Linked DNA regions of Kluyveromyces lactis. The protein of the gene in region 1 purifies or fractionates together with the protein of each later gene. This does not show direct contact. Links are inferred from orthologs where the notes say so. Each region holds a gene or a part of one and is shown in the gene's direction. Other genes may lie near its edges.

Region 1 (3,472 bases):
CATGTCTTGAAGTAGGCGATTGCACCATTTTGAACCTTTGAACTAAAATCTATCTTTTTATCTTTTTCGATTATTTCGACATCATCTATTAGATGACTCGTAATCTTATCACAGTTCTCATTCAAACCAAAGATAAAGATCCCTGAAATTTTCGTCTCTGACTCAGCTTTCTTGATACTCCCTAGATTATCTGCAGCCAAGGGATGGGTTTCCCATCTCATAATTACTTCATGCTTCTCAACGTCAAGGCTTTTAATACGTACCCTGTTTTCAACTGAGAATGCAAAAGTGTTCAATAAGAACCGTATGCTATTCCAGACAGCATAATACTTCGTTATTCCGGAGAAGCTTGGCAAGTACGGATGGGTAATAGGCATAATCTTCAACTCTATGTCTTTGCTTAGTCTCGGTTCATGTAAAGAAGTTTGTAGAAGATGTGGGACATTTGACTGCAAGTATGTTATCGTACATCCCAAATTCACACGACGGATATTTTCAGTACTCATCTTTCCATTGTTACCAATATCAGCACACCCAGAGGTCCCACTGTACCGCCGCACAGACCGCAGAAATCCTAATCTTCTTATTGTTGTGCTCATCGATATAATAATTAAACTAATGGACAAATCTCGTAAATTTTATCGTTAAACGCATGCAAATTAAATCTTAAGCTATTACGGTAAGGTGTTATTCTATCAGTACCCAAAACTTTCAATATATTAGGCAAATATTAACTATGTTAACCCAATGTCTAATGTACCATTCGGATCTATTACATTTGCTTTAAGCAGATTTGATCATCACGATATTTATCCCCATGCCAAATGTTGAGAAAAGTCTCGTTACCCTGACATACACATGTCATATCAATTTTTTTTTTTCGCTTCTTCCTCTTCGAACTTTTCAACTTGAAGGCTTTCTTTCACTCTAAAGATATAATCATCGATATCTAATTGTTTCGATAGTGTTTGCGTTTGGTTGGAGATAAATAGGTGTGCAAGGCCTGCTATTTCGCTAATTTGGCGCAAATTATTACTTAAGTCATTAAGCCATCCATTAATTTTTAAGAGAGCTTCAATTGATTGAGAAAACTATTAAAAAAGTGCCTCTCACATCATTCATTCATTCTTTGGTTTAGAGATCTATTTAAATCAATCTTAAGCATTTTAGCAACCAAGGCGAGAAAGACTCAATAAGTTACATAGGTTTGGCTCATGTCGTTCCAGTTGTTTGCTAAGACTAACTCCACCGTGGAAGTCTTCCAAGGATACCCATCATTTGAGGAGATTTCCTCATCTAAGAGCGGAAACGATGGTACTGAAGGTAAAGTGATTCAATCTCTTTTGTCTCCATGCGGTAGATTCATGGCTAAATCGTACGAGAGTAAAGTTGTACTGTTAATCGGTGAAACCTGGGAAATCACATTGGTGGAATTACCGTTAAAGAACGTTTATGACCTAAAATTTTCTCCAAGTGGGAACTTTTTGTCTACTTGGGAAAGACCTTTAGTAGACGACACAGAACACCTAAATTGTAAGATTTGGAACTTGAATGAGTCACCATTGTCTACAGAACCAAAATACAGTTATAAAGCATCGACCCAAAGTTCTTGGACTTTACAATTCTCTAAGTTGGATGACTATGCCATCAAGTCATTTGGTAAGGAACTTCGCATCATCAAGTTAAGTGGTGAAGACACATTCAAGTTTGACAAGCCATTTGCCACTTTGACTCCAGACCAACCATTCACCACCTATCAAATATCTCCGGCTGAACATCCAACTATTTGCACGTTCACAAAGGAAAAGTCAGGAAAACCTGCACAATTAACCATTTGGCCCATTACCACTGGTAAGATTACCAAACAAATTGTCACCAAACAATTTTTCAAAGCAGATTCATGCCATTTAAAATGGAGTGATTTAGGTAATGCCATATTATGCCTAACCACCACTGATTTCGATCATTCTAATAAGTCCTACTACGGTGAAAATAACCTGTACTTATTGTCATTCCAAGGTGTCAATGGTGCATTGGGTGGCGAATCAGTCCGTGTATCCCTTGGTAAAGAAGGACCAATTCATGATTTCAACTGGTCTCCAACTTCGAGACAATTTGGTGTCATTTACGGATTCATGCCAGCCACTATCACATTCTTTGATCTTAAGGGCAACGCCATCCATTCTTTAAACGAACAAAGGAAAAACACATTAGAATTTTCGCCAAATGGTAAATACATCCTTGTTGGTGGTTTCGGTAACTTGCAAGGCTCTGTGGATATTTTGGATAGACATGATAAATTTAGATGCATCAGTAAATTTAGCGCTACAAACACTTCTGTCTGCAAATGGTCTCCAGGCGGCGAGTTCATCTTAACAGCAACCACTTCTCCAAGATTGAGAGTGGACAATGGATTGAAAATCTGGCATTATTCTGGTACCTTGGTGTTCGTTAAAGAATACAAAGAGCTTTTGAAAGTGGATTGGAGAACGAATTGTCCTTTCAGAATAATCAAGGATGGGTATGTTACCAACGGTAACAAATTGAAGGACGAGGAATTGAAACAAGATCCAAAGATTAGAAAGCATCAGCTAGAAATACATCCAGTGGTCACTCAGTTCAACTTGAAGAACCCAAACAAGTCATCAACTAATTTAGGCGCCAAGAAAACCACTGGAGCCTACAAACCCCCACATGCTAGAAAAGCAACTGTAGTACCTGGAACCACTAAAACTAGAGCACCACAATCAACTCCAACGCCGCCCCTTCAACAATCTGCTGCAAGTCAAACTTCACCAGAAGAAAAGAAAATCAGATCTTTGTTGAAGAAATTAAGAGCCATTGAGTCACTCAAAGTAAAACAAACCGAAGGTGTCAAGTTAGAAAACACCCAGGTCACAAAAATCCAATCAGAACCTAAGATCTTAAAAGAGTTGGAATTACTTGGTTGGAAGGGAGAGTTAGATTCATGAGAGAAAATACCAGAACCCCATGAAAATATTATCTCCGGATCCATTAAAATATACACCTACATTCTCATTTATTACAAGTTGGATGTATTGGAATATAACCTACATATCAGAGATATAACAAAGCCACGATAGTTAATAAAGCACTGTCAACCCTTTCATAATCATTTATAGTAACGCCTTTTACTTTATTAGACATGCACGCCATTCGGACAAAAAAAGTTTGAAATTCAACCAAAAAGAATGGTCGCGCCCGGATTCGAACCGGGGTTAATGGAATATTCGGGACTTGTACTTCTCTCGAAGCAACTTCTCAGAATCCACGGTGATAACCTCTACACTACGCAACCGTCAACTTATTCCATCCGGTGATTTGAAAAGACCATCAGGGGCAATTGTTGCCAAAGAACATCACTGTCTTGGGAATTATTCTCCATACGTGAAAGCGTGCCCCATGCTATGTGGCTTCTCCATTCAGGCACCTATTTCGACAAATGATACTA
Region 2 (3,752 bases), on another chromosome or scaffold:
TGCCGGCTCTTCGTCAACCGGAACCACGACGCCTCAGCAAAACAAACGTAAACCAAAGAAGTCTGCTACTACTGCTGGGAACAGCAATGGGAACGAAAATGCCCATACCGCTGGTACCCCAAGTGACGGCAATAGTGTTAACTTAACCGGCAAGGACTCTACACCAGACAATAGCTCCGAAACAAAGCGTGGCAAGGCCCATCACCATCAACAACCATCATCAAGATCTGGTACGCCTGTCGTCGGATCGAAAAAACAGCAGAGGAAAGGTAAAGACATACCGTTGGCACCAAAAGCCGATATCCGTCTTCCTGACAAAGAATACGACAGTATGGACGAAGAAGAGTGTAAGAAAACGATGACAAACGTCCGTAGCTCACTCAAACGTCTAAGATCTGGAGGAGACGGTCTTGAACGTAAGCAATGGGCTAACCTATTGAAGAAGGAATTGAAACGTGTTGGTGACTACATCGAATCGCACAAGAAGGACTCGTCTAAGACCTCTCCAGAAAAATATAAAAGACATTTATGGTCTTTCACTGCATATTACTGGCCAAGAGATGTCCCATCTTCCAAACTCCTGGCGATGTACGACAAAATCAAAGCCTCTGAACATTAATTAGTCAAATGTAACAAAACATAGAGATATATACGCCTATCAATTTACGAAAAAAAAAAAGATATCTAATCAACAACATATTGCTATTAGTTATTATTACCTTCATAAATGACATGAGGCACAAGGGCGCACCAGAAACAGCCGGCTGCTAGTAAAATACCTGGTTTGTTGTGGTGATGCCTCAGATCATTTCGCACGTACCTACCTTTCCTTTTGTGGAAAAGCTTTAAACTCTTTTTCAACTCTTTAAATTTTTCAATGAAAATTTTCACTTTTTGGCTAACTCATCACAACAATTAAGGACTGTTCTCACAGAGATGGATGAATTATATAACGATTTTAAATAAGTTCTTGTGATGTTGTTTCATTTATTTAATTTGTTATAAGTTTTTAGTTATCTTGGTTAGTTTATACTGTTTCGTTTGTTACTTATTTGTATTACCTTTCTGGTTCAGTTATTGTAACATTTTATTTTGTGCAATTTGTTTGTTTAAAAAGACCACGGTCAAAGTCAGCAAACTCTCTAAAGGTATCATCTGTATCCTGTATTTTAATTGTTTTTGGTAAAAGAAAAGAATAAGCGTGGTTTATATCTTTTTAATATTAGTCAAAACATTCCAGTTAGAAGTCTTTTTGAATTCAAGTTAACTAAGGGTTTTTCATTTCCATCCATCGTTAAATCAAAACTTAATAGTTTCATCAAAGGTTCGCAACTGTGTGGGTATTAAACAAAACAATACACTAAAATACACATTAAAAAACCATAAAAAAACATATATTTTAAAAACACATTACAAAACCAACCAACCGCCATCTTTTTCGGTTAAATTTATCTCATCTCATCTCATCTCATAATGTCTGATATTACTGAAAAAACTGCTGAGCAATTGGAAAACTTGCAGATCAACGATGATCAGCAACCAGCTCAATCTGCCAGTGCTCCATCCACTTCTGCTTCTGAAAGCGAAGCTTCTTCTGTTTCTAAGGTTGAAAACAACAACGCTTCATTGTACGTTGGTGAATTGGATCCAAACATTACTGAAGCATTGTTGTACGATGTGTTTTCACCATTGGGTCCAATTTCCTCGATCCGTGTTTGTCGTGATGCCGTCACCAAGGCTTCGTTAGGTTACGCTTACGTTAACTATACTGATTACGAAGCTGGTAAGAAAGCTATTCAAGAATTGAACTATGCTGAAATCAACGGTAGACCATGTAGAATTATGTGGTCCGAACGTGACCCAGCTATCAGAAAGAAGGGTTCTGGTAACATTTTCATCAAGAACTTGCACCCAGCCATTGACAACAAGGCTTTGCATGAAACTTTCTCCACTTTCGGTGAAGTCTTGTCTTGTAAAGTTGCTTTAGATGAGAATGGAAACTCTAGAGGCTTCGGTTTCGTTCATTTCAAGGAAGAATCCGATGCTAAGGATGCTATTGAAGCCGTCAACGGTATGTTGATGAACGGTTTGGAAGTTTACGTTGCCATGCACGTTCCAAAGAAGGACCGTATCTCCAAGTTGGAAGAAGCCAAGGCTAACTTCACCAACATTTACGTCAAGAACATTGACGTTGAAACCACTGACGAAGAGTTCGAACAGTTGTTCTCCCAATACGGTGAAATTGTCTCTGCTGCTTTGGAAAAGGATGCTGAGGGTAAGCCAAAGGGTTTCGGTTTCGTTAACTTTGTTGACCACAACGCCGCTGCCAAGGCCGTTGAAGAGTTGAACGGTAAGGAATTCAAGTCTCAAGCTTTGTACGTTGGCAGAGCTCAAAAGAAGTACGAACGTGCTGAAGAATTGAAGAAACAATACGAACAATACCGTTTGGAAAAATTGGCTAAGTTCCAAGGTGTTAACTTGTTCATCAAGAACTTGGACGATTCCATCGATGACGAAAAATTGAAGGAAGAATTCGCCCCATACGGTACCATCACCTCTGCTAGAGTCATGAGAGACCAAGAGGGTAACTCTAAGGGTTTCGGTTTCGTTTGTTTCTCTTCTCCAGAAGAAGCTACCAAGGCTATGACCGAAAAGAACCAACAAATTGTTGCCGGTAAGCCATTGTACGTTGCCATTGCTCAAAGAAAGGATGTCAGAAGATCCCAATTGGCTCAACAAATTCAAGCCAGAAACCAAATCAGATTCCAACAACAGCAACAACAACAAGCTGCTGCCGCTGCTGCTGGTATGCCAGGCCAATACATGCCACAAATGTTCTATGGTGTTATGGCCCCAAGAGGTTTCCCAGGTCCAAACCCAGGTATGAACGGCCCAATGGGTGCCGGTATTCCAAAGAACGGTATGGTCCCACCACCACAACAATTTGCTGGTAGACCAAACGGTCCAATGTACCAAGGTATGCCACCTCAAAACCAATTCCCAAGACACCAACAACAACACTACATCCAACAACAAAAGCAAAGACAAGCCTTGGGTGAACAATTGTACAAGAAGGTCAGTGCCAAGATTGACGACGAAAACGCCGCTGGTAAGATCACCGGTATGATCTTGGATCTACCACCACAGCAAGTCATCCAATTGTTGGACAACGACGAACAATTTGAACAGCAATTCCAAGAAGCCTTAGCTGCTTACGAAAACTTCAAGAAGGAACAAGAAGCTCAAGCTTAAACTTGATTTTTTGACCTTGATCTTCATCTTGTCCTTTCTATATCTTTCCCCCGAAGAAAAAGAAAAATTAAAAAAAAAAACGAACAGCTAACTATATGAATAGTCTCAGCTTCACGCATTGGAACTGGGTGGTGCTAATTAGCTTACGCATTGTTATAGACCTAAACTAGTCGAAATAAACTACTTTCTGCCACTCTTCTTTTTCTCTCGCTTTTTTTTTTTTTGTTCATCACAGGCTTTCCATTGTTGCCAAAAATGTTGTGCTTTTAATCTTTACCAATAAAAAAAATTACCACGCTCCACATATACCATATTACCACAATCCATCACATCACTCTACCCTTTCTCCATACCGCTAATTCAATCCGGAGGTATGCCCCATTTTTCTCTTCAAATTTTTTCTTACTGATTTTTTCTATCTAACTATTATTGTTACTCTACCCGTTTTATATAATACTAAAGCTCTAATGGGAGGACATTAGTAGTCTTTTTAATGAAGA

Evidence for each region. Proteins that work in one complex are often made in the same cells at the same time.
Region 2: the proteins of KLLA0_A02761g (region 1) and PAB1 purify together in Saccharomyces cerevisiae (affinity purification with mass spectrometry; 3 studies listed by BioGRID). This does not show direct contact. The link is inferred for Kluyveromyces lactis from reciprocal best matches to the Saccharomyces cerevisiae genes YGR054W and PAB1.

What each region holds. Positions count from the first base shown.
Region 1 is NC_006037.1:246,657-250,128, forward strand, and holds KLLA0_A02761g (translation initiation factor 2A), read left to right. Parts: upstream 1-1,214; coding exon 1,215-2,972; downstream 2,973-3,472. Other genes in the region: MCO32 (Mco32p), read right to left, coding at 1-599. UniProt on the Saccharomyces cerevisiae protein: Functions in the early steps of protein synthesis of a small number of specific mRNAs. Acts by directing the binding of methionyl-tRNAi to 40S ribosomal subunits.
Region 2 is NC_006039.1:1,551,849-1,555,600, forward strand, and holds PAB1 (polyadenylate-binding protein), read left to right. Parts: upstream 1-1,473; coding exon 1,474-3,252; downstream 3,253-3,752. Other genes in the region: chromatin-remodeling ATPase CHD1, read left to right, coding at 1-619. UniProt on the Saccharomyces cerevisiae protein: Binds the poly(A) tail of mRNA. Appears to be an important mediator of the multiple roles of the poly(A) tail in mRNA biogenesis, stability and translation.